Coturnix japonica: one gene and its partners. The protein of the gene in region 2 interacts with the protein of the main gene of each other region in a pairwise test. Links are inferred from orthologs where the notes say so. Each region holds a gene or a part of one and is shown on either strand. Other genes may lie near its edges. The genes, in order: SSX2IP, MORN4, BEND3, HMMR, RANBP3, TRIM23 and SEPTIN6.

Evidence for each region.
Region 1: the proteins of MORN4 (region 2) and SSX2IP interact in binary tests that used the Homo sapiens proteins (3 or more experiments, as listed by UniProt). The two-hybrid records come from large-scale screens. The link is inferred for Coturnix japonica from reciprocal best matches to the Homo sapiens genes MORN4 and SSX2IP.
Region 3: the proteins of MORN4 (region 2) and BEND3 interact in binary tests that used the Homo sapiens proteins (3 or more experiments, as listed by UniProt). The two-hybrid records come from large-scale screens. The link is inferred for Coturnix japonica from reciprocal best matches to the Homo sapiens genes MORN4 and BEND3.
Region 4: the proteins of MORN4 (region 2) and HMMR interact in binary tests that used the Homo sapiens proteins (3 or more experiments, as listed by UniProt). The two-hybrid records come from large-scale screens. The link is inferred for Coturnix japonica from reciprocal best matches to the Homo sapiens genes MORN4 and HMMR.
Region 5: the proteins of MORN4 (region 2) and RANBP3 interact in a two-hybrid assay, tested with the Homo sapiens proteins (2 studies listed by BioGRID). The two-hybrid records come from large-scale screens. The link is inferred for Coturnix japonica from reciprocal best matches to the Homo sapiens genes MORN4 and RANBP3.
Region 6: the proteins of MORN4 (region 2) and TRIM23 interact in binary tests that used the Homo sapiens proteins (3 or more experiments, as listed by UniProt). The two-hybrid records come from large-scale screens. The link is inferred for Coturnix japonica from reciprocal best matches to the Homo sapiens genes MORN4 and TRIM23.
Region 7: the proteins of MORN4 (region 2) and SEPTIN6 interact in binary tests that used the Homo sapiens proteins (3 or more experiments, as listed by UniProt). The two-hybrid records come from large-scale screens. The link is inferred for Coturnix japonica from reciprocal best matches to the Homo sapiens genes MORN4 and SEPTIN6.

What each region holds. Positions count from the first base shown.
Region 1 is NC_029523.1:14,419,795-14,423,294, forward strand, and holds part of SSX2IP (afadin- and alpha-actinin-binding protein), read left to right. Parts: intron 1-124; coding exon 125-200; intron 201-284; coding exon 285-456; intron 457-777; coding exon 778-928; intron 929-3,333; coding exon 3,334-3,470; intron 3,471-3,500. UniProt on the Homo sapiens protein: Belongs to an adhesion system, which plays a role in the organization of homotypic, interneuronal and heterotypic cell-cell adherens junctions (AJs).
Region 2 is NC_029521.1:19,470,883-19,474,860, reverse strand, and holds MORN4 (MORN repeat-containing protein 4), read right to left. Parts: upstream 2,801-3,978; 5' UTR 2,671-2,800; intron 2,392-2,670; 5' UTR 2,361-2,391; coding exon 2,294-2,360; intron 2,153-2,293; coding exon 2,038-2,152; intron 1,951-2,037; coding exon 1,841-1,950; intron 1,675-1,840; coding exon of another isoform or gene 1,629-1,674; coding exon 1,480-1,628; 3' UTR 381-1,479; downstream 1-380. Other genes in the region: PI4K2A (phosphatidylinositol 4-kinase type 2-alpha), read left to right, coding at 3,230-3,625. UniProt on the Homo sapiens protein: Plays a role in promoting axonal degeneration following neuronal injury by toxic insult or trauma.
Region 3 is NC_029518.1:61,788,397-61,792,519, reverse strand, and holds the start of BEND3 (BEN domain-containing protein 3), read right to left. Parts: upstream 2,801-4,123; 5' UTR 2,686-2,800; intron 1,620-2,685; exon of another isoform or gene 920-1,619; intron 1-919. UniProt on the Homo sapiens protein: Transcriptional repressor which associates with the NoRC (nucleolar remodeling complex) complex and plays a key role in repressing rDNA transcription.
Region 4 is NC_029528.1:8,992,149-8,995,648, reverse strand, and holds part of HMMR (hyaluronan mediated motility receptor), read left to right. Parts: coding exon 1-83; intron 84-958; coding exon 959-1,059; intron 1,060-1,612; coding exon 1,613-1,687; intron 1,688-2,535; coding exon 2,536-2,714; intron 2,715-3,377; coding exon 3,378-3,500. UniProt on the Homo sapiens protein: Receptor for hyaluronic acid (HA). Involved in cell motility. When hyaluronan binds to HMMR, the phosphorylation of a number of proteins, including PTK2/FAK1 occurs.
Region 5 is NC_029543.1:279,871-283,370, forward strand, and holds part of RANBP3 (ran-binding protein 3), read left to right. Parts: exon of another isoform or gene 1-293; coding exon of another isoform or gene 294-317; intron 318-1,816; coding exon 1,817-1,853; intron 1,854-1,932; coding exon 1,933-2,019; intron 2,020-3,500. UniProt on the Homo sapiens protein: Acts as a cofactor for XPO1/CRM1-mediated nuclear export, perhaps as export complex scaffolding protein. Bound to XPO1/CRM1, stabilizes the XPO1/CRM1-cargo interaction. In the absence of Ran-bound GTP prevents binding of XPO1/CRM1 to the nuclear pore complex.
Region 6 is NC_029547.1:14,362,179-14,365,678, reverse strand, and holds part of TRIM23 (E3 ubiquitin-protein ligase TRIM23), read right to left. Parts: intron 3,161-3,500; coding exon 3,039-3,160; intron 2,115-3,038; coding exon 1,836-2,114; intron 1,284-1,835; coding exon 1,101-1,283; intron 554-1,100; coding exon 338-553; intron 1-337.
Region 7 is NC_029519.1:15,401,085-15,404,584, reverse strand, and holds part of SEPTIN6 (septin-6), read right to left. Parts: intron 3,037-3,500; coding exon 2,850-3,036; intron 2,632-2,849; coding exon 2,470-2,631; intron 1-2,469. UniProt on the Homo sapiens protein: Filament-forming cytoskeletal GTPase. Required for normal organization of the actin cytoskeleton. Involved in cytokinesis. May play a role in HCV RNA replication.

The DNA of each region.
Region 1 (3,500 bases), on a different chromosome or scaffold from region 2:
AGTGAGGGGGATATTTGGGTAACGCGGTCTTCTGTCAGTAAATACATAAAAAGGTAAAAGAAGTGTCATCTGAATATGTAATTGCACATTGTTTCATGCTTTGAAATCTCCTTTTCATTTGTAGCTATGGAAGTTCTAAATTATGTTGGTAGAGCTGATGGGAAGAGAGGTGCGTGGAGGACTGATAAGACAGAAGCCAGGTGAAACTGTAGTTGCTTTAGAACAACATTAATTAAACTCTTTGTTATGTTGTCACCTTGTTACTGTCACATTTCTGCTTTCAGAAATGAAGAACAAATGTACAAAGTTCTGCTAAGTGACTATGAGCAACGCCAAAAGCAGCTTTTATTGGAAAATGCTGAGCTGAAAAAAGTTCTTCAGCAAATGAAGAAAGAGATTATTTCACTTCTTCCACCACAGAAACAAAAACCTAAAGAAAGGTCTGAAGATGGGCCAGTAAGTATTCTTTGGTTAAGCTTAAGTCTGTGATAGTTTGCAGTGCTGGAGCAATCTGATTAAAATACTTCCTGGAAGGCTTGCAGTGGAAGGACCTGAAAAAATCTTTTCATTATTTTTGTAATAGTAAAAAAAAAAAAAAAAGTAAAACCTATATGTATATATAGGTTTATATATATATATATTATATATTATATTATATACACACACACATATATAAGTTTTACTTTTCTTTGGTCAAACAAATCTACGTATGTATTTAAATGTGTATTTTTTGAACGTTAAGATTGCTTGCACCAGGCTTTGTTTCTATTTCTATAGGTACTTTCAGACTTGGAGGAGGACATTGGAGAGTTAAATAAAGAGAATATGTGGGAACTGTCATGTGAAACTGTGCGAGAGCAGCTTACCAACAGCATTAGAAAACAATGGAGAATGTTGAAAAATCACGTTGAAAGGCTGGATAACCAAGGTGGTGTTTAACTCATATGCGTACATGTAAAATGCTCCTGACTGTTTGGTGTCATGCTCTTTGGATTTACATTACTGTATGTCTTAACTAAGTGGAAGCTAAAATGCAAGGGATTGTGACCTGATAGACTCCCTGAAAAGGCTTGTGATTGTCATTTTCTACATGAGTTTAAATTGTGGGAAGTTAGGAAAGCTATTGCCTAGCAAGTCTGTTATCCTGAGAACAGACACAATTGTAGTTTGACAGAGTAAACAGCTTTCTTCAGAAATAATTTATTTTTCTTTTGGAGACACGTGCACTGTAATATGCAGGTCACTCCAAAAGTAATGCCTTCTGTTTATTTTCATGAGAACTGTAGCAGATACAAAGAGCACAATAGTACTATTGAATAGACTAAATTCTGAACTGCATAATACTGTTCTGTTCTTTTCTCGACGTAGTCACCATTAATTAGCTATGTGCTTTTGCCAGTAGTTAACAGGAGCCTACATGTCATGCTTGCAAAAAACTACAGAAAATCTTCATTAGTGGAGGTGACATGCTGTTATCACTGCTGAAACAGACCACGCACCATCTTGCTTTGCTCACATCCACTGTGTTTGGCCTCCATAAACATTCAGCAAGCTGTTTTTTTCATTGACACACCTTTGCTTCATATGCATTTCCATGTCAGATGCCATTACTGCCCTTCTGCTGCCATCTGTCACATGGCAATGAAATGTAACAGAATGCTGGTGAGAAGGTTCGACCTCTGCCACCATTGTCTGCCTCTGATGTTGTGGGCCAACTTAAGCAGGAAGCATTATTTTCAGAGCAGCCCTTGTAAATGTTGGTTGTATTTCCCCGTTTCTCTGAGCTGTTCAAGTAATGCAGATACTCAGTTTCTTTCAACTTGGGATATGTGATACACAGATCCTTCTTAAAGTTTGAGCTCGTTACATCCATATCTCTAGTGCTTCTGCTGGCATTCTAAAATGAACTAGTTGATGGTATGGTGCTGGACTCTCCTCATTTCCAGCTGTTAAACAGCATTAAAAGACAGCTAAAAATATATAAAATTCTTTCCTAGTATTATTTTCCAATGTAAGCAAATGCTGCTGCTACAGCAAGGATGTTTGCAGTCAGGAATAAGAGTGAGAAGGTCATGAATGTAGTTGCAAATAAAAGAGCAGGTGGTCTCTGGTATAGACATATTCTTACAGAAAGGATTTTAAGATCACTTATTCTGAGTAATATTTGACTCAGTGTACTGACAAAAAATAATTGTAAGCATCAGGAAAAAAAGATTCGAGTATTTGCAGTCTTCTTGGAGTTACTTTTTATTTACTTTTTCTTTTTTTTCTTTTTGAGTTTATAGAGACAACCATGTTCTGATCTGTTAGCATTTGCTTAGTGTTTAAACACTGTCAGCAGGGGATCCAGACTTGGCATATTACAAATGCTGGGATGGTTGTATCTTTGTACAACCACACATTACATTATTTCATCTCACGCACATTTTATTCCTCTCTGATTCATTCCCTTTCTGAGTTAAAAATGTGCACACAGTGTTCCAACTGTTAGCTCTGTTTCTCCTTCATAGAACACGAGGGAAAAAATCTTTCCGTTTTTATCTATGGTATATATAGTTACTGCCATACTCTTATGAACACATAGACCCTTCAATAGTGGGCTCAGAATAGGCTAACCATGCATCAGTGAAAAGAAATCTTCACTTGTTATTTTCTTTTAAATAACTGCTGAAACAAGTTGTGGTGGTTATTTTTGGTGGTGGTGTTTTTGTTTGGTTGTTTGTTTGTTGTTTTTTTTTTTTGGGCAACACTGTTGCGGCACAGATTTGTGATTTACCTGAATAAATGTTGCAGCATTTGAGGCACGGACTCAGATGTGAACGATCCAAATCGTTTATTACAAGTTCTCACATCCCTTATATTACCTTCACAAGTTATTTTTCTAACTTTCCCGTCTGCCCTTACAACTTTCCCAACCACCTTTACATGTCAACAAAGCATTCTACAAAACACTTTTCAACTGTCCATGCAGGCACGTATCCAATCAGAGCTGTGAGACCCTTCTTCTCCTTGCAGAGGTGTCCTTGGTTCTCATGCTGTTTATCTTGCTCCACAGCTGCTGCTCTGAACAGCTTTTCTTGTATTCCCACAAAATGTGAAATCTGAGGTGACGTTGTAATGTTCAGCTCAGGATAAATGGCAGTAGCTCTTAATTACGAGTGTAGTACCAATTCTGGATTGCTTGTCGTGATAATAGGAATTTTGAGTGCATGATGAATGTGTCTTTTGGAATTAAACTATTACAGTTTAACAATCTTTGTTATTGCTTTGAGTTTTAAGTGTTGTGATGTATTGTTTTTAAGTAACCTTTTTCCCTTTTTTCTTCTCCCTTAGTGTCACGTGTGCATTCAGGAGCCTTGAATGATAAAGATGTAATTTCAAGGGAAGACCATGAGCTGGAAACTGAAAAACTAGAGTTAGAAATTCAGCAATGTAAAGAAATGATCAAAACTCAGCAGCAGCTTTTACAGGTAGCAGGCTTTTTGTTATTTTCAAGACCA
Region 2 (3,978 bases):
TTGGGAGCTGAGGATGCAGTGGAGACAGCAGTACATGGCCAGGAGGAAAACATTCATCTCACTCCTTCCTGATGGACAGGGCTTGTGGAGGGAAACCCAACACCTTAGCATGTCCAGATTGGGCATGCAGTGGCCATGCCAGACCCCTCGAAAACCCCCTCTGGGCTCAGGCAGCAGCCCCCCATCCACATGGGTGCCCACCTGAGGTACTGCAGGTTCCCCCCGTCCCTTGGGGTATGGATGCCCGACGCTGACCCAGCCACCCTACAGAGCACTATGAATAAACCTGCCACCTCCCCTCTGCATATGCTTTTGTGCCTGTGCAAGCAGCTGACCCTGGGGCACAGGTCCCTGCTTCCCAGCAAGATGGACACAGCTCAGGAGTTTGGCAACATGGTTTACTCTGCTGAGGCCCATACAGGCAGCAGCACAAGGCAGGGACACAGCAAGGCACGGGACCGGTGTGGGCAAAACCTTCAGGGAGGGCACAGTTGGGCTGAGAGGGATACAAGGGCCGTGTCCTGGTAAGCTGGGCCATGCTGGGGGGAGAAGGCAGGTACACACAAGGAGAGATGAAGGATGCAAGTGCTGGAGCAAGATGGGGAGCTACCTGCACCCTGCCTGCACCCTTGTCATGCTCTTTTCCCTGCCCACCCAGCCCAGGTCCCCTGCACCAAACCTGGCACTTCATGCTGCCTTGCCTCAGCCCCTTGCCCCTAGTTTGGTCTGAATCTGTTTATTTCTCATCATCACTGCTGCCTTCACCCAGCTCCTTCTGGACACAGGATGAATGTCAGGCCAAGCGTCTCCTGGCCCCAATCAGTGGAGATGTCTCCAAGGCATCAAATGGGCTGGGTAGGCACAGTGATGAGAGTGATACAGTCAATTGCCCTTTCCATGATCCCAAGAGCATGGGGGATCATGTCACACTGCCCAGTGGGTGCAGCGTTGAGGGCACAGGCCACGGAGTGCCCACACTGCCTGGGGACCTGGGCTGGAGAAGCAGGCCAGGATCTGTCCCTCTGTGCACACATGGTCCAGCCAGCTGCCCACTGCCTGCAGGCATAGGCACCCTAGGCAATAGGGCCAGGAGCCAGCCCCAACCCCAACTCCTCTGTTTGGTTCCAGCCATGCCATCCCTCATTCCTGCTGGTGGCTGCTCTGGTGGGGTTGGGGCCAGAGTGGAGGCTCCTCGTGGGGAAGGGGGAGGGCAGCAATCAGAGGGAGAAGGCACCACGGTGGCCCCAGTAAGCAGAGAGCCACCTAGGGGCACTTGGGTGAAGGGCACAGGGGTCTGTTTTCCCCACCAGCACAGTTTGGCAGGGAGGTCTTTCCCATGCAGTGGAAGGACTCCCAGTCCTGCCAAAGTTGGGTGGCTGGCGAGGGAATGGATTGCAGTGCCATGGCCCTGCCCTGGGTCAGCCAGTACCAGGGGGAGTCCCACTGCAGCGGGTGGGGGATGCAGGTGCCAGGGTGCCATCACGCTGTGAGGTTGTGAGCAGACTTGGAGGCAGTCTGGGCCCTCTGGATCACCGCCTGGCACTTCTCCCGCCGCAGCAGCTTGTTGTTCTCAAAGAAGCCCTCGTTGCGGGGAACCCCATGAGAGCCGTCAGGGAACGTCAGGAGACCTGGGGAGGGAAGGGATGGGAGTGACAGGGTAGGGAGCAGCAGACACTGGGGCCAGGCATGGACAGATGGAACAAGACACACCAACAGGGCAGGACAGCAGGGGCAGGGGTGGGCAGGACTTTGCTAAGCTGGGGCTGTGCTGAGCTTTGGCAGGCACATCCTGCTGCTCTGTCAGCACGCACCGAGCCAAGAGGAACCTTCAGACACTCACCAAAGCCATACACACGTCCGCCTTTGAACTCGCCCTCGAAGGTCATGTTGTCATAGCGGGTAAAGACGCCAACACCGCTAAACTTGCCCTGCACAAACTCCCCCTCATACCTGCACGAGACAGAGGGAGCATCAATGGGCCAGGTACTCACACCGGACCATGCGGGCTGTGCTGAGGACACGGGGTGCTGTGCTCACCTGGAGCCATCAGCAAAGCTGAGCACTCCACAGCCATGGAACAGACCGTTCTCAAAGTGCCCCACGTAGGCGGTGCCATCAGCAAACGTCAGCTGGCCGATACCGTGCCTGCGTCCTAGCGGGAGAAAAAGCCGGCAGCGATGGATGGAGCGATGGCAGGGGCAGCCCAGCACAGCTCTGGGCGAGGATGCTCAGCACAGCTCTGGGCTATGGAAGCATGCAGTCAGCTGTGCCACCCCACCCCGCCCCATCTCACCTTCCTTCCACTCCCCGCGATACTCCTCCCCGCTGCAGTACGTGAAGGAGCCCTTGGTGAGGGTCATGGCAGCGCCGTGCAGGGAGCTGTAAGCAGAGCTGTGAGCACAAAGCTGTGAGCACAGAGCTGTGAGCACAGAGCCGCGCTGCGGCAGGGCCGGGCAGCAGCACGCACACACGACCCCGACCCCGCCGCTGTAACCGCAGCCGCCGGGCTCGTGTTGCCGCCCGCCCCACGGCGGGGCACGGAGCCACCTGAGCTGCCGGGGGCGGCAGCCTCGCTCGGGCTGCAGCTCACCCCCGGCCTGCAGCTCACCCCCGGCCTGCAGCTCACCCCCTGCAGTCGTTGCGGGCAGTGCCGCTCCGCCCCGCGCTCACCTGCTCCGTGTCCGCCGCCCGTTGCTCCGCTCTCACCCCGCGGTCCCGCCGAGGGGCGGCGGCCACCTCCCCAGCCGGCCCCCCGCCCCGCCGGGCGGCGCTACACCGCCGGCATCCATCCCCGCCTGCGGTTGGCTGTCGCCATGGAGACCGCTAGCAACGCGGCTTCTCATTGGTCGGCTCCGCTGCCTCGCCCTCGCCCGCCGCCATCTTTGCGCGGGGCAAAGCCCGCGCCCCGCCCTGCCGCCATCTTTGTGAAGGGCGGCGGCGGCGCTGCTGACCCCAGAGCGGCCATCTTTGTGCGGGGCACCGAGCCTTCCTCGGAGACGGACCGAGGAAGCCCCCGCTTCGCCCTGTCTCGCCCGGCTCCTCCCGAGGGCCGCGATATCCGCCGGGCCTCCTCCGAGCACCGCCATGGGACGGACGGACGTTGGGCCCGGTTCCTTCGGCATCCGGCGGGCGGGGCGGCCGATGGAGCGTGACGGCGCGGTGACGTCATGACGTCATGACAGTTCGCGACGTGACGTGACGCGACCGGAAGCGTTGGGCGGCGGGCGCGATGGACGAGACGAGCCCGCTGGTGTCCCCGGAGCGGGCGCAGGGCCCCGACTACGGGCTGCCGGGCAGTGCTGTGCGCACGCTGCCGCCCGCCGCCCCCCCGCAGCCGTCGCCGCCTCCTTCCCCCGGTGGCCGCGATCGCGAGCGGCAGCCGCTGCTGGAGCGTGGGGCGCGGGGCCCCGCGGCGGCCGCGGCGCAGGCCCAGGCCCAAGCGGCGGCGGCGGCGGCCCAGGCTCAGGCGGCGGCGGCGGCGCAGCGGGAACGGAACGACTTCCCCGAGGACCCCGAGTTCGCCGAGGTGGTGCGGCGGGCAGAGCTGGCCAGCGAGAGAGGGATCTACCCCGAGCGCATCTCACAGGGCTCCAGCGGCAGCTACTTCGTTAAGGACCCGCAAGGAGTGAGTCGGCAGCGCCCTGGGCCGGGCCGGGAGCTCCCCTCCATCCCGGTGATGTGGGCCGGCAGGGCCGGCAGCTCGTGGCTCTGAGCTGGGCGCTGCGGGGCTGTGCCCAGCGGGTATCTCAGTTTGTAATGCATGGGCTGTGCCACACTTAAAGCTTGTTCCCCTTCCCCCGTAGCTGTTGTGTCCAGCAGGCGCTTCTCTCTTCCTGTGGATCGTCAGCTCCTGACCGTGGTGACTAATGACATGGGATGGGAGCTCTGACATAGGGTGACGTTCTGATATAGGATGGGAAGCGTTAGGCCAGTGAGACTGGAAGGAGTGGATCTCGAGGTATAATTGATTCTCTGATG
Region 3 (4,123 bases), on a different chromosome or scaffold from region 2:
CTTAAGAACGTGTGTTATATGTTTATTCCTTCCAGTGCCTCATGGTGGTACATTGCTTCATGCATAAAAGTCACAGGCTTTAATGAGAACTACTCGAGTTTTGTTTACATCCGAAAAGGAGAAACTGTTACTCACATTACTCAAGACAGGACACAGTGTTTGCTCGTCACGTTGGGAATGTGTTTAAAAGCATATTTGAAGAATATGTTCGACTTTGTGGCTTTCAGCGTGCAGTGAAAGCACTCAGCTAACCCAGCTAAGGAGCTGATATTGTAAGTAGGCAACATTGGGTACGTTTTACAAGATGAGTACACAGAACTGCTGGTATTTAACAGAGAAAAAGTAGCTGGCCTCACTGCAACAGCACTTGATCAAGTCAACGCTACATGATGACAGTGTGGTTTACCCAAAGCCAATCAAGGACAGTTTATTAGTTAAGAGACTTCTCAGACAATAAGGGGTCTGAGGTCCTGTTCCACGTCTCTGGGTCTGTACTTCACGTAAAGCATGTGTTGGATAAAGCAGTGTAAAGACTCACAACTCAAAAATAAATGAATAAACAGTAATAAAAAGGACAGAATGCAGAGAATCCAAAGGAGTGCCACAAAGGTTTTCAAGGGGCTGGAGAAGTTGCTGCAGGAGGAAAGACTGAAGGAGTTTTAGGCCCTTTCAAGCTGGGGAACAGAAGGCTCAGGGGGCACCGCAGTACTTAACAGGTAGCCACAAAGAAGACACAGGGTCTCCCTTCACAAGGAGCCACATGGAGACGATGAGGGGCAATGGACATGAGCTGTACCAGGAGGGGTTTTAGCTCGATATAAGAAAGAAATGTTTTACAGTGAGAACATCCCTGGAACAAGCTCCCAAGGGCCATGGTAGAGTTGGGCAGAGATGGGCAGACAGTGCTGGATCATCTCACCTCGGCTCCCTTCTCCAAGGAAGGCTGGGCCTGATGAGCTTCTGACTTCCCTTCCAGTTGGGGCTGCTCTGTAGGCCTAAAACACAGCGATCCACCGATCCTCCTTTGGAGGAGTCCACCAGCAAGGAAGCAGCTGGCTGGATGCAGTTCCACCCAGTGCAGGGTGGTTCTAACTACCTGATGACACTGAACACTCTGCCCTTTGTGATGTTTCAGAAGGTTGAGGTCAGACTAACTCTCTGCAAGGACAAGGGCTTCTGAAGCCACATCTCTGGCTCAGGTGGTCCAGGAGCTGCCTCCCTCTTTGGGTGCTGCTCACCAAACAGCTGCAGGGCAGCTCTTCTGCTGGAGCAACCCTATAGAACTCTGGCTTTGGCCACGTCATTCAGGTCTTTTGCTTCCTGCCTGCAGCACTGGGGCCAGGTCAGTGATTTGAATTTAAACAACAAGGCAGAAATTTCTCAACACCCTCTCAAACAGCAACACGACTATTTTACTCTGGACTTTTTGGCACTTTCATTAATGCTTTAATTTCCTCTTTAAGTATTCTCCTGTTATGGAAAACCTCATCACCACACTCATTTGCATGACGTGGAGAATAAGCAAATAGCTGCAGCTGGCTGCCAGCACGCCGCTACCTCAAACATCTGCATTAATCATGTCTAAAGTTACACCTCAAACCACCAGCACAGACAGACAGCAGATAGAAAGAAGCAGGACTCTGCTTTTCTTGCTCTTGAGCTGCACTTTGCACGTGTTCGGTTGGGTTCCATTATAAATCACCGCATATTATTTCTGAAGGGTGTTTTGGAAGAGCAGGGTTAGTTGTTTGAGCAGCAGGTTGAGGAAACAAGTGTGATGCCCAAAGCCTGGGCCATAGGGGTGGGAAGGGCCCTCTGGGGACCATGCAGCCCAACCCCCTGCTGGAGCAGCATCCCTACAGGCTTCCCTGTATATCCCTGTACAACCCTACAGGCTCCTATGAAAGGGGACTTGTACATCTGTTACCCAAACAACCAGCAAAACGCAAACAGGGCACACAGTGCTTAAAGCAAATGTTCTCTATTCCATCTATTTGGTGACAGCGGGGTGCTGCCCGTGACCCCAAAATGGAGGGTTGGAATACAACCTATTATTGATGCCCCACCGTTCAAAACCAGCATTCCGACCCCCACCAAGGGCAAGGGGACGGACCCATCACCCTCCGTGTCCGCTCCGTTCCCCGCATCCCCCCGTCGCTCTGTTCCCGTCGGGGAGGCGGCGGCCGCCACGTGGGAGCGGCCCGGCCCCGCCCCGAGGCGGAGGCTGCGGCGAGGCCGCCCCGCAAACCCCGCACGCGGCGCCCGCGGCCGCTTCCGCGGTCAGACCCGCGAGCCCGGGCTGCGGCGGCGGTTGGAGCTTCCGGTCCGAACCATGGCCGGGCGGATCTATGTGGCCGGTGCGAGCGGGGGGAGGGGAGGGGGAGACGAGGTGAGACAAGGGGGGAGGCAGCCCGGCGCTTCCCCGCAGCACCTCGCAGCACAGCGCAGCGCCGCGGATGGAGGCGGCCCGGGCCGGGGTTTCGTGCACCGAGTCGCCGTCGCGAGCGGCGAACAAAGAGCCCCCGCCCGCCTTGCTCCGTGTTGGGAGCGGGGCCCGGCCGCGGCGGGGCGAGGGGCCGCCTCCTCCTCCTCCTCTTCTCCTCCTCCTCCAGCCCCCAGCCCCCGGCCTCCCGCCGTCCCCTCCCCGCTGCCCCTTCCCTCCCGTGCTGCGGTGGCGGCACTTACCGGGGCGCGTACGAGGGGGCGCGGGGGCCCCGGGACGGCGGGGGCGGCTGGAGCGGCCGCCGCTGTTGGCCGCCTCTCCCCCCCGCTCTTTGTGTGCGAGGGTCCGCGCGCTGCGCTCTCGCGTGACGTGACGGGACCGTGTGTCATTTCCGCACAAGGACACCGAGCCCCGAGCCGCCGCGGCCAGCGCCACCCGCCGCCCCGGGGCAGGGGCAGAGCCGGGGGGTGGGGGTGGGAGCGGGGATGAGGGGGGGGGGGCGGGGAGGAGCGGCCTCTCTTCCCCCCCCCCCGTTCCGCCCCCACGCCGCCGCTCCCACCGGAGAATCCCGCGAGCGCGGGCCCCGCCACGCGCGCTCCCGCCGCGAGACCCGGCCGCACGTGGGCAGCGCCGAGCACGTGGCCGCGGGACAACGCGCTCCAACGGTGGGCGCCGTTATCGTGCCCCCCCTCGGGCCCTCGAACGGCGAATCGCGGCCGCCCCACGCGGGACCCCGCGGCGGGCAGGGGGCTCCGGGGGGATCCGCGGGGCCGTGGGACGGGAAGCGCTCCCGCTGTAACGAGTATCCGCGCGGCCGCCATCCGTTTTGACAGTAACGCGTGGAACGTCAGCTCGGCGAATCCTGCGCACGGGAAACCCCCGCCGGTGAAGCCGTACATGACCGGGAGCGCGGCGGCCCCGTGGCCGCGCTGTGCGGAGACCCGGAGCTGCGGCGCTCGGTCCCGCCGGGCATCACGCGGCCGCTCGCACTGCCCGCGTTGTTCGGCTTCTCCCGCAGCCGGGGCAGCGCGGTGCCGTGTCGCTGCCGTCAGTGCGTGGCACACGGCTGGGAAGTGACTTTCCAGGAACGAAACTCTCCGAGCAAACCCGCTGCCCCATCGGCACTGCAGCCCTCCCGTAGGATTCCTGGAACAGGCTGCCCAGGGAGGTTGTGGATGCCCCGTCCTTGGAGGTGTTCAAGACCAGGTCGGACGGGGCTCTGGGCAACCTGATCTAGTAAATGTGTATGTTTGGTGGCCCTGCCAGGCAGGGGGGTTGGAACTACATGATCCTTGACGTCCCTTCCAACACGGGTCATTCTGTGATTCTGTGATAGTGCTCCCGCTTTCCCTTGGACCGAGTGAAACATAGCCAGCCTGTGATCTGAGGTGCTGTCGTCAGGAACAGCTCCCTGTGATTTCTGTCTTCTGTTTGTGTGGCTGCTCTGAGTTTAGACTTTAGGTTTGGGCCATGCTCACAGTGCCACAGTGGCCACGTAATGCCCATAGAATGCTTTGCTGACTTCACGTTGGCTGCTCTTTTTGTTGTTGTTAAGGGCTGGCTTATCCCAGCAGAGCCCATCCCAGCAGAGCTGCCAGCTTCCACACCGCTCTGACGGACCACTTAACGAGGGTACGATTTATTAACGAGACAAGAATCTACAGCCAGCGATTCATCGAC
Region 4 (3,500 bases), on a different chromosome or scaffold from region 2:
CTGAAGACAGTGTGCAGAAGAAAATGAGCAGTCTATGTATGGAGTTAATGAAGCTCAGAACCAAGAGGGATGCTAAGGAGAAGGTAAGCTGCTTTGTACTGTACAGGATTGATCTGCCTAGGAACGGTCAACAAAGAGCTTGCAGCAGTTTTTTCTTTTTTTTTTTTTTCTTTCCTCAACTCAAAAACTGCTTTTCATTCAATGGAATTAGGAAAGATAATAATGAATGATCCTTATTTCGCTTTTGATATGTGAAGTTCCTCTGAATAACAAACTGTAGAAATATTTGTTAGATACATTTTGTTGACTACATAGATATATTTGTTGACTACATTTGATGTAGTCAAAAAGCAGTGGCCTCAAATTGACTCTTAGCCATTGAATGGGAGCTTTCAAGTCATGGCCTGAACTGCTGATTGAGTACGTAGGGAGAGGACTGGGTCAGCCCTGGGAGCACAGGTGAAGGCAACACAGCTGTGTGACCTGAAGGGCTGCAGCCTGGCTGCACTTCTCTTAGGCCTCATTGAAGGGCTGACTGCTGCTGGGGAAGGGTCTCTTTCTGGAGATCCCTCCTTGGCAAAGCTTTCCCCTGCGAACTTGGAATCTTCTGATGTGAGTGAGCAGTCTTTCCTTCATTTATAGCACCTTTCTGTCATGCTGGTCTTTCTGTCATCAAAGCTCTGTTACAACAGAGAAAGAAAGGTTGTAATACGTTTCCTCTCATATTGATCTGTCCAATTGCTACAGCTGTGTGTGGGTTTTCTGGGTAGTGTATGCCTGTAGTTGTAATGAACAGTTGTTATATCTGCAGATGGGTAATTTGAATAAAGGAGTCACATTTAGCATAGGGGCTAGTACTGTAATTAATTTCTGGTTGAGTTAATTAAAAATTAATATGACTCAAAGAAAATTAACTTCTGTCATACTAGTTTTGGTGGTAACACTGACCTTTTTCCAGACTGCACTTGCGAAGCAGGAGAACATGGAAATGAAGCTGCAGGAAGTACAGAGGAATCTGGAGCATTCAAAAGGAAAAGTAGCACAGTTACAAGAAAAACTGTAAGTAGTAAGAAAAGGAATGGATGTAGTAACATGAATATCTGAGCTGTTTGTAGCTTGGAGAAAAATTAAGGCCATCTTTCTACTGGGAGGAAACAGAAATTAACAGTGGCCTGAGATAAAATTTATGGTGAGATGTTTGGATGTTTGCTGTGGGAAAATTTTCCCTATATGAAAAGGACTTTTGCTCCCTTTTAATATCCAATTGCTTGAATTAGTACATTTTTTATATTTAGTTTTGTGTATTTTAACTGTAATCTAATATTGTAGGTAATGCAATTCACGAAAGGCAACGATAATTTGTCTAACCAATGCAGCCTGTCTAACATACTCAATTGTGCTAAAATGTGGTACAGTGTTGTTAGTGCAAATGGAAGTGTCAGCCACACTTGATAATGGGAAGAATGCATTAGTATTAAGTAGTGATCCAGTGACAGATTACTAGTTGCTTACCTGTAAACAAATAACCTATGATGTTATAGATACTACAAATAACTCTGATGTACTTGAATATTTCTATTTATAGTGCAAATGTCTTGGGTTTTTTTTTTAGGTCTGCTACGGAGAGAGAGAAAGTGGAAGATAAGTGTGACACTGAAAGACTCCTGGATTATATCACAGAGCTCAGGTAAAAACTGTTCTGGAATTGGACTGTGTTAAAAGGCAGTAAAACTAAGCTTTTTTTTTTTTTTTTTTTTTCCTCAGTGAAGCAGAATTTTGGGAACAATTCTACAGTAATAAGAGTGTGGGAGGGAAAAAGTGGTTATCCTTCCAGACAGATGGGAAGGAGTTAAGGTGTATCCACATTTAGAAAGTTATTTGTATACAAAACTCAGCTTTTGTTTTTTCTTCCTCTGAGCTACTGGAATTTTCTGTTTTTTATTTTATATTTTATAGCTGTGATGTTTAATCTTTGTTTCTGGCACTTAAGAATATTGATTTGGCTGTGAACACTACCAGCTTAGTGCTATGTAACAGGTGGAAGCACTAACCAGCTCCTCAATGATGTGTACCTAGCTCAGAAAATTGTGAAAACACAAAAGCATTCCAATTTAGTTCCCTTCGATCTGAACCTTCCTTCTCCACCAGCGTCCCATTTCTGCCAGTTTACTCAGTAAGAGGTTCCTCATGAACTTGCCTAAAGTTTCTACTTATTGTGAAGTCTGGTTTATTTGTGTGTGTGCTTTTCTGTCAAACTCATCTTTCTAAAAAAAGCAGGTGTAGAGATGATCTGTAAATGAAGTATTGTGAGTAATTTTATTTCTAATTGAACTTAATATCAAAATTGGTATTTTATTATTGTTTAATTTTAAGTAACTTGTGTTAATGCTGCAAAAAAAAAAAAAAAGTCTAAGTAAGGAAAGGAAGCTTTCCTGCTAAAAACAAACAGTATTCAGTATTCCAAGCATCTCTCATTTGTGCCAAAGTGAAATCTTAAAAATGAAGTTATGGTAACCAATAAATGTTGTTCTGTAGTGGTGCTGCAGAAGCTGTAGAGAAATACAAGCTAGGCGTTGCTCAGATGGAGGAGATGTTGATCAAGAAAGACCAGGACATCAAGATCCTGAGGGATGCACTCCAAACAAAAGAGGAAGAATCAAACACACTGATTAGAGCACTTAATGAAAAGTGTGAGTTGCTTGAACAAGAGAAAGGTAATTGCTACTTGTTGAATGCTGTTCATGTAGCTGGGATCACATATGCATCCTATAACAAATGTTTGTCTAAAATGGTAGTGTGGATTCCAAATCATATCTCAGCTTCAGCTGAAAACAGACCAGCCTGTTTGTATCTGTATGGAAACAACTGAGTCTATGTTTATATTTCCACATACTGAAGTAAATAGTGTAAAAATACGAACTGTTTCAATGCTACTCTTCAATCAAAAAGGTGAATGCTTGTTCTTTTTGATTAAGAATCAGTACTATACACCTTTATTTCACTGTTAGTGGTTTATACCCAAGTTCACAGAGGTACTGGGAGTATGTCCAGGAATCCTTCTTTGCTTCTGCTCCCCTAACTCCACTCTACTCCTCACAACTCTGAGGGAACCATTTAGTAGGTTTTTCCTGTCTGTGCTACTTTATTTGATAAAAGCTAATTGTTTGAGCTGATGTTTGCTACCATTCATGCCTAATTAGAAGTGGGATTCTTTCAGTTGGTTTTGATGAATTCCAAAGGGGGTAATATATGAGGTGGGTATTTTCCATGCTTAACTAACTTTACTTAGTTATGCTATTTTAGTTTTAGAGTAGATGTTGTGCTTCTTTGAAGGCAGAGAAGGCATTACCTATTGCATTCTTGCTAACTCTATGCAGAGAGAGAATCATCTGAGAGCAGAGGAAAAATCTTGAGTATGAATGCTGAAATAGAAGAGCTGAAAAATAAAGCACTTGTAGAGGAGCAAGAACACCAAAAACTGCTTCAGAAACAAGAGGAGT
Region 5 (3,500 bases), on a different chromosome or scaffold from region 2:
AGCACCAAGGAGGATGCTAAAGCAGAATTTTGAATTTAAGTACTTGATAAAGCTCTCAGTAATACCAGCATAAGCTATTTCTACTAATGGTTCAGGTAAACACTTTTGGAAAGGTGAGCTGACTGGAGGACTGCTACCTGCAGCCTTTCAGAGTAGTTTTAAAATGGGGCTTATCCTTTCTGCTTGGTGAGCCGTGGCTTCCTGGTGCAGGTGAGTCTGCATTCCTCATTGTGACTGCACGTGCTGGGTGTGTTTCATAGTGTTCTGCCTATGAAGGCTACTCCACATGGGACATGTGCTTCTTTTCCTTGTCTGGGGTGAGCCTTTTTGGCCCAATTCAGAATGAATAGTGATCACAAGGTACCAAACAGGGAGAGACAAAAGCGGCCAGACTTGCTGAAGTTGCCACAGGCTCATGTCTATTAGTCTGTAGCACCTGCAGTGCATGTAGTGGCCCAGAAACAGTGTGAGGAAACAGTGGGTGTAAGGGTGCAGTGATGTCACTTGAGCACATGGTGATTAATCTGCATTTGCTTCCACTCTTACAAGGCAGCTGGGTGCCTTTAGAAAAGGTAATTTGGTTAATGAGGGATGTGTCGAAACTGCAGGAGCTGCTACTGAAATATTTGTAACTTTTTTTCTAGTTGGATTTCTAAGTAGGGGAAGGGAGTAAGGGAGCTCTTACACTGGGTGAGCAAACTGGGGGTCAGATCAGGGATTACTGGTTTGTCTCACAGCTCCTGATTTCCAGCAGCTGCGTAGAATGAAGTCATTTGGGTCACTGTAATGGTTCTGTGTGAGGTGGTCCTGGCTTTCAGTTCTGTTATGTAGTTTGTGTGTGTAAAAACAGTGCTGTGAAGTCCAACTGATAGCCTGCAAAAGGGGGCCTGAAAACCTGGGGCAGAGGTGTCCTGACTGGTGAGTGCCCACCTGATGGAGTGAGTGTTGCCTGCAAGTGTTTTTGTAACAGCAGAGACCTGGGATGTACCTTTTGCTGGAAGCAAGTATTAAAAAATAATAATTACAATAATACTATATTCTTAAAATAATATTATATTCTTGATGCTTGAGTATCATTTAACAGTTTTAGGTGGTTTTGGAACTTGGGGGGAAGAGTCTTGTTGATTTTTCTGCACATACAGATGTGCAGTTTGATGCAGGTTGGAGTATCTGACTGTGCTTTCTACACAAAACAGCTTTTTTCTCTCTTTGAATACTGGTTGCTCAAATGGAAGATATTGTGGGTTTTCACTTTAGCTTTCAGGAAAGTAGTGTTTGTTGACAACAGCAGTGCCTATGAAAGCCATATTTCAGTAATGTGGATTACTTGGTGAGTTACATGGGGATGGTGTGGATAACAAACACAATATTACTGCATTGGATTGATGGATGAGTGTTGGAATGGGAAAACTATTCCTAAAACTGCAAATAGCTCTTAATTCCTTACTGAGATTTCAAAGCTACGTGACTGGGATGCTGGTAAACTCACTCTTCTGTCATCTTAAAACAGAAAACTGTATTGCATAGATAAAGGTGAATGTATGTGGGTAGATGTTGTAATGAGAAGGTGGTGATGCTGCTCCATTCGCCTCCTGCAGCACATGGAATTCCTTGTGGGCAGTTCTGTGGGAACAGGGAAGTGATGTAGAAATCCTCAGAAGATGTGAAAACTTCAAATATCTCATTGTGGCAAAGGGCAGCCTGTGATACTGCCTGCTTTTCCTTCTGGTGCTCTGGAACTGATATCATAGGGTGTCTCTCCAACACTGGTGTTTTGTTGATGGAACTGATAACTGTCCCTGTCCTCTGATTTCAGAGATCAGCAGATGGATCGAGTCCAGAAGATGGAGATGGTAAGAAATGTGATTGTAAACTTAAGAAGTGCTGGTAGATAAATAGAATTCCAAAAATAATCTTTTTTTTTCCCTACAGAATCTGATCGAGAGGATGGGAACTACTGTCCGCCTGTGAAGCGTGAGAGAACTTCATCCTTAACACAGTTCCCTCCTTCTCAGTCAGGTAAATGTTAATTATTACTGTACTGTATGAGCTGGGTTTCCTATTTCTGTTTCTCCGAGTCACACCAGTCTTATTACTGCCTGCTTTGCTTTACCTCTAATGACCACAGCAGCCACATACTGACTTCCCTATGGTCTGTGATAGCAAATTTAATCGAGCCCAACAGATTTTGATGCACAAACTTGTATGTTTTCATACACATGCACCAGCTGGAGCTTCTAATGTTATGCTGTTCAATGGAAGAATTTACCAGGTATCTTTTTGCTTTGTCGTGATAAAATCACCTCTTAGAGACTTTGCATAAATGCTGTATTTTCCTTAGTTCTGTGCTGTCAGATCTAATCTCAGCTTGTACTCAAGTTCCCTTTGTCAGTTCCTTTTTTCTCATTCCTCCTCAAGTGGAGAGAATACAGTGCATTTCAGCAGTGTTCTCACCCAGCACATGCAAGAGATGCACTGTGAAGGGCACAGATAAGTTCTTCTAGCTCATATACACTGGAGTGGTCTGGTGTGACACACAAAAAACCACAGAGCTGAGGATTATCTAAACTGAGATATTGTGGTGCTTAAGGCAGACCTGAGTCCATTCTTGGTCATCTCGGCTGGGAAATTCTATGATTGTGATCTTGGATGCAGGTGAGTAGTTTCCCAGGACTTCCTTTTTTACATTTCTAAAAGCAAGAGTTATGTTTCCCCTTTCCCAGTCATTGGGAACTTCCCTGGGCTGCCACAGCTTCTCAAACAGAATGGAGAGTGGCTCGCCAGCTTCATCCACCAGTTTCTCAGGGGCACTTGTGTGAATCTCAGCAGGTCCCATAGACCTGTGTATATTCAGGTTACTTGGATGGTCTTAAATCTGGTTTTGTCCAGCAGCAGGCAGTTACTTATTCTCCCAGTCTGTCTTTGCCTTCTGTGGCCTGGGCAGTGTGGCGTGAAGACTGAGGCAAAGACATCTCTGCATACCTGGTTTTTCATATCCCAACTAACCAGGTGGTGTTCCCATTTCCTTCTGGAAGGGGCCTATATGAGATATGGGGAGACACAGGGTAGTCATGACTTGGAAATCATCTCTCCACTCATGGATTACCAGCTTGGATTCTCTTTCTGCGTCCCATGGGCTGTGCAGTGATAGCAGAATCTTTGAGATCCACTTCAGCAATTGGCTGTTATTTCTTTCATATCTCAAATCATGTCACAAAGGAACCTTGTGAGATCTCTTTTGATTTGTAATTCAGGAGAGAATTCAAACTAGGAATGCTGTTTGTCTTCCCTCTTGGCAGTGAATGCTGCTGTTACAGGAGAAACTAAGCAGCAAGGATCTGCTTGTTTTTTGTATCTGTAATACTATTCTAGTGTAGAAAGAAACAAAACAAATAAAAACCATAGCAAAGTAAAGCAAATGATCAGAAAAACTTTGTTTTGGGAAAGGAACTTATAATCAAGAACGGCATACCCAGCTTCTCTTATTTTTCTTTTTACTT
Region 6 (3,500 bases), on a different chromosome or scaffold from region 2:
AGTCATTTAGTATAAAACTGTTTTCAAAAAACCATTTTCAAAAAACTGTTAGCAACTGCAGCTATAAAATCCTTCCCACAAATCCCACAGGCGTTTTCTTCCTTCCTTCCATTTCACCTCTGTTCCAAAAACCTCTCCCGTATTCAACCAGAAGTTACTCTAGAGTCATGCCATAGAATTTACAGCAACTGGAGGACTTGGCCAATCTCATGTAATATAATTACAGTTTTAAAATTATAAAATAAAATAAAATGCAGAACACTTTTTTGTTTGTAGCCTAAACTTACACTGCATTATCTTTCTCTTGCCAGATGCTGCAGCTCACTTGCCAACCTACCTGTTGTAAAGTCTTTTCACAATGAAGGCAAGCTGTTGAAACCTGTGACAATAGGATAGTCATGTCTTCTTGTTGCTGTCTAAGCCAAATCAATTTCTCTCTCACATGAGCATCAACAACACTAAGAGCCATTTCCTCCTGTCGACAGAGGGTTTCATGAAGATCCGAAAAATAGGCTCGGACACATGAGCGAGCATTCTCTGCAGTCCCAGGTACCTACAGTGTCACAATCAAAATGTCAAGAGAATCAAAAACACCACAAGACTGTACAAGTGTATGTGTCATTTTATTCATATCTCTTAATTTTGTTCAAGCCTGTTTAGTTACCTTACAGTTCTAGTCCCATTTACATAGACAGCCTCATCGTTGTTAAGGTCAAGATTTCAGATAAATTATTTCAATAATCAAGTAGCCTTTACACCTCTTTCCTTACTGACTCTCTACATTCATGATGACTAAAAACCTTGACACGTACTACAAGATTGCCTTTAACTGTTGTCTCAATAACAATATTGGGACAGAAGTCTTAATCTCTCAGTAGACATTAAAACTTAAAAGTTTTGTCTTGTAAAGCCTACATATAGTTTTCCAAGAACTTCCTTGAAATGTAATTGTAATGAAGTATGTTATAATTAACTACCTCCCAAAAAGATCTTTATTTGTTAAAAGCTTAAAAACAACCTTACAAGCTCCCATTTGTTATTACAATCTGTAAATATTCTGTATATGCAAGAAAGAAAAAACAACAAAGAAGATAGCATACATGTTCTGTGTGGGCCATTCCAACTCCATCTTCAACAATTTGCTCTCCTCCTTCTATATGCTGAACTATTCCAACTAATTTTCTGGAATAATCTGAGATTTCTTCTGTGAAAGTTCTTATACAGTGGGCCATGTCTAAAATGGATGCACGAATCTGGTTTGCTTCTGGTTCCAAGACAGAATGCTATTAATTAAAAGCAACATATCAATGATCAATCAAATATTTTCTTTAAATATCACTTCTGTCGTACTAGATAAAAAATATATTAATTAAGTAAATCACATAAATGCATTATTTAGAATCTAAATACTATTCTACTACTAAGACAGGCATCTAGCAATTATATAAGTACAAACAGAAATTTGCCTATTTACTATAATTACTTATTAAAGCACACACAAAAGGGAGGTTGGAATGCAACTGATTGGGTGAACAAACTACAAGATGAATAACAACCTTCAGGTCAGGCAATAAAATACCATGAGAAGATCTGAAAAGCATCAAATTAACTATATAATTTACTTATAAGTAATATAGTCTTAATCGTAACTATTTTCCCTGTAACTTTTATTGTGGCAGTTCTCCTAATGAAAAAGGAAAGAAAATAATGACAGTACTTCTATAAAAGCACATCAAGATTCTGCTCTCCTCTCTTGATAACTTTTTCTACTTAAATTGGATAAATAATATGCAAGTCATTCCATAGCATGACCAGAAACAGATTCTCAGCAGTACCTTATGACCTTGATGCTTCCCATACTCTTTGCAGACACAACACATGAGAGGACTGGCTTGACAATCCTCTTCTAAACAAACAAACTCAATAGCATGCACTTGGTGTTGGGAGCACATGGTCTTCTCATGAGGTTTATCAGCAAGAGGTACACGTTTGTGTTTCGCTAGTGTCTTTGTAGAATGAGTAAGCTGAGAACAGTCTGCACACAGGTGAGTGGCACAAACAGTGCAATAAACAGATGCAACATGGGCTTCATCTTCATCACAGCGAATGATACTCTAAAAAAATAACACCAACATAAACCAAAATTGTTAGTATTTATTAATATTTATTAATATATTAATAATATTTATTAATAAAATATTAAAGTATTTATTATTTATTAATAATTTATTAATTAATAATAAAAGTAATTATTAATATAAATTATAAATAATTTTCAGCAACAGCGGAAAAGTCAGAAGACCCGACACCAATATGGACTACTTTGAAAACCTGACCTCTTGTTACTTAACAATAATAAAAAAATCACTTTCCCTAACAGTAAGTTCCAATATTACTCTAGAGGGTTTTGATTGAGCGGTTAATTGACTTTCTAAATGTACACTTCAGCAGAAGCAGTAGAGCTTTTGAGGCTAAAGTAATTCAGGTTCCAGACAGCTCTTCAACATAAGCATTATGGAAAGAAGAATGAGAAAGTTAGAGACAAAACAACAATAGAAAAATATGTGCTCAGAACAGTGATCTGCTCCTAAAATTGCACTGCATGCTTTGTGCATAACAGCTGTTAATACCAGACTGCTTAAAGCAGTCCTTTCTGGTAAAGAAGCTATTATACAACACAGTCACACTGAATGACTATAAAAGGTAACTATCCAGAAAGAAGAGCTGTTTCAAAGTCTGTAAAAAGAGATGCTAGGAAGTTCCAGAAAACTCTCCTAAAATTATTACAAATAAAATATCCAAACAAGTAACCCTCTGGAAAAGTCTTTAAAGCCTAAAAAAGGGGGGAAGACTTGGTAATAACTTCTCTGATTTAGTAAGTGCACATTAGAATTAAATTATGAATTACTGATAATCTTCATGTTAGATACAGAAAGAAAACAACTTTATTAATGCAAACACACTTGCCAAGAAAATTTTCTTCTATCTAATAATATTTTTACACAAATGTAACACAGTTCTTTTTCCAAAATCTGTACCTCTCCAGATAGACCAATGGCTTCTTCTGCTGTCCCACACTGTCCAGGAGGCCCATTCTGCAGCCGTTCCAATAGTTCCAACAAAGCAAAATTCTTTTTCAGTCCCCAGACACCAGAATCTCCTATTTTTGAGAAACAACTAAATAAAGTGAGGGGATAGGAATAAAACGCCTAAGCAAATAACATAATGAGAATTTCACAAAGCACAGAGAAGATTTTAACTAACATTAAAAAGAACATATAATTCCAGTGAGGTACCATGGCTGCTCAATGTCAGCTCACAATAACATTCCATCCTGTTCCTTCTTTCCATCATGGAATTATTTACTGTTTATGCAGATTGTCCCTACTTAAGAAATGCCACTTGTAAAATAATCCGCGATAACTAACAACAAAAGACCATAAGAACTATAATTATCATGAAATTTAATACAATTTACTTAACTATGTATAGTTAACATT
Region 7 (3,500 bases), on a different chromosome or scaffold from region 2:
CCCAGGGGCTTGCCAGGGCTGAGGAGAACATCTGCACAAGCACAGAAGCAATAAACGAGCCTTCTTGGAGTCTTCTTTATTTTATCTCCCTCCCACTCCCTCTGCTCACACCAGAACACAAGATAGCTTGCTCTATCAGATCAGGAGACTGAAGTCTCTCTGTTGTGCAATGAGTGAGATCTCTCCCCACCTCCACTTGCTCCTGGGAACTATGCAACCTTCCACCAAGCTGCAGAGAAATTGAATGCAAGGTTTCAATACTTAAAAATAAAGCTGCCAGCTCCATGCACTCACCCCTTCTGCTGAGTTCTGTGCAGAGATATTTGTTAGCTAGAGCCTTTAAACTGTGCTTGGTTCTGGGCAATTAAAAGTGCCTCAGGGTGCCAATGGAATGGAACACTGTTTACAGCTCTTCAGCTTTTATTACCTGGCCTCAAAACTGTCTCATGAAGGACACAACAGTACAAGTGGGGCTTAGCGGTCAGTCTGGAGGGGCCATTCTGGGCCGTGAGGAGGCCCTGGGCACCACAGACTCTTGAGGTGCCCTTCACACAGTTACTTTTAGAATTGCGCTGACATGTCAGCACATGGAAGGATGCAGGTCAGCATAGAGCTAGGCCTATTCTGCTAGGGGTTCACCTATCAGTATCAACTGTTTGGCTGCTGTTTTACCTAGGGAGAAAGTGCTGGTGATTTCCTTTTTTTCCAAAAGTTCCAGCTCCCACCACGTGGAACAAACAGCTCACATAGTCACACATGGCTTCATTTAACTACCAGGTGTAGGGAGAATACATTCTGCAGTAATTAAATTGATTCAATCAAAATGGAAAAGCCAACTGGGAGCTGAAAGAATAGCAAAGATCTAATTTTGTATTATGTTTTAAAAAAAAAAAAATGGATGGGAGGAGATCCAAAGAATTTTGGGGAGTATTTTCAAGTGCTCTCTACATCTCTGAACTTGTAAACGTATGCACAGTGGGATTCTCAGAAAGACCAAATTGATTTGAAGCAAAACCAAGCATCTTGTTCTGAAGATTTGTTTAATCAACTGGTATCTAAATGCTGCACTTGACACCTTTGTTCACAGCTAAATACTTCTTCTGATCACAATGGCAGAGATCTTATATCTTCAGTTGATTGATTTCTGTCACATCAGGCCGTATTCTCTTCGTTTAGTAAGTCAACCCTGAATGCAAAATACTATGAAAGAATTCCTCATGCATCAATACAATAACCTAAAATGCACACTAAGTAATGAGTTCACATATTTTAAAACCTAATTTTACTTGCCATGCTAAAGATAATCAAAGCAGGTCATAAGCAAAACATTAATTAACCAAGAGATAAGTCTCAATTTTCCCTGTAATTAAAAAAAGAAAAAGAAGAGGTAGCTGATCCAGAACGTTTAATCTTCAGAGATAGGTGAGTACCTTTACTTTTCCTTTGAAATACCATTTTATCTGTGCTGGTCCCTTTGCTGTTATAGTCCTGTATTGCCCTTCCACTGTGCTAATCTTTCCAGTTGTAACACCCGGCAATTGTGATTTGCATTAGTTTAATGGAGGATTTAAACAGCTGATCTCTCTGTGCATCAGTTGATACAGCCCAGAATGCCTACAGCCTGAAAGTAATTGCAGATGCTTTAAAACATATTTAACTCAAGTTGTGTACTCTGTTCTGAACAGGTGGATCAACTGCGTGATCTTGCCACAGGATCCTGGAAGTTCAGTGATGGAAGAGGATCAGGTGGGACAGAAATCCTTGATCTGAATGCAATCAGACACTGAAGAAATATTTCAAGGAAGCATCCTATACAGTATCTCTTTTTATTCTGAGAGTGGCCAAAAGCAGACATTTGGAAGAGAGAGATGACTGGGCCACCCTGGCACAAACTATATCTTTTGTGACTGGACAACATGTTTCTCATGTCAGCATTTAGTTGTACCTCAAATGAAGGGGTTGCTCTAACCAACCCACTGCTCCTGGCCAATCTTTACATCTTTCACCAGAGCTGCAAGGCAAAACCAGACCAAGGACAGCAGGAGGAGACACCTGCAGAAGCAAGGCTTCACAGGAAACTCCCATCAAGGACAGCAAAGCTGTTTGGTGTGTGAAATGCAGAGCTTGCTGCAGACAGATAATACTCATCTGATTAATTCACAGCACAGGACTGTCCATGCCCAGCATGGCCAGACTTCACCATCTGTCCAATTCCCTGTATGTACCTCAACACTTACACCTTAAGACAAGGAAGTGGTTAAACTCCATCTGCTTTCTGACTAGAAAAGCCTGCCAGAGAGGCAGTAGCCTTCCTCAAGGCTCTGCTAGCCTAAGGTGACACTACAAAAATGGATTGTCTGTTCTCAAGACAGAAAATAAAAGGGAAAGTGGATTTAAGAAACATTGCAATATAGGCCGCCACCACTACAACAGTAATGTTCTGAGAGCAGGAAGTGCTGAGTCACTTACATTCATTGTTCCATTTATCTCGGCCACTGTTTCATCATCTGTGGGGAACTGGTAGATCTGGACACCGTTGCTGACCAGTTCACTCATGATCTTGATTTTAAACTTGGTCAGCTCACTTTTGGAAATGGCATCAGATTTGGCAATGATAGGAATGATGTTGACCTGGAGAGAAACAGAGAGGTAAGTCCTAGGGTTTGCTCCAGGTAGTCTTGTAGTGCAACTTATAAAAAACTTAAAAGCACTCAGTAAGTCTAAAGGATGCATCTGCCAACTCGGCCATAGCATAAGGGGAATGCAAGTAGGGAAACATGCCCTGGAAAAGCAGCAGCATTTCCATCATGTGCAAGGTGACCTGCACAGTAACAGTTAAAATTGCCTACCTTGCTGTCAAGCTTCTTCATTGTTACCAAGTCCAAGGATTTCAGCGAGTGGCCTGTCGGAGCAATGAAGTACAAGCAAGCGTGGATCCGGGTGTCATGGTAATTGTGCAAGACCCTCTTTATCTTCAGTTCTTCTTGCAAGTAGGCTTCAAACTGAGCATCAATGAACTCAACAATAGGCTTGTAGCTTTAATGAAAGGAAGAAAAATCTTGACGTCTCACAGAGATAAGCCACCTCTACTCCTATGCTAGCTTTTTAAAAATGAGCTGCTTCTTAGCTATTCACTTCCCAGGACCAATTCTCCAAATCTCCCTTCCTCCTCACCCATAAGAAATATAAATGTTGCATCTTTAGCAAGCAGATGTGATCTTAATTAGACACTATCAGCCTGTTTGACAAAAATGCTGACTATTCAGCAGAGAGGAGAAACACTACTAACAGGGGCTACAGAGGCTATGGATTACTACAGACTAATTTCCTCCAGAGAAAATGGCCTCATACTTCAAAATGAGAGAAGGAAAGATGCTTCTAAAAGGAAGGTTAATGCAGACTCATTGGCAGCAGTGTAAGTCTCCCTTGCGCCCAGGGAGCAAATGGCTTGCTGCTCTCACAGTCCCAATTCCTGCAGGTGAAAGATGCATCTCCATTCA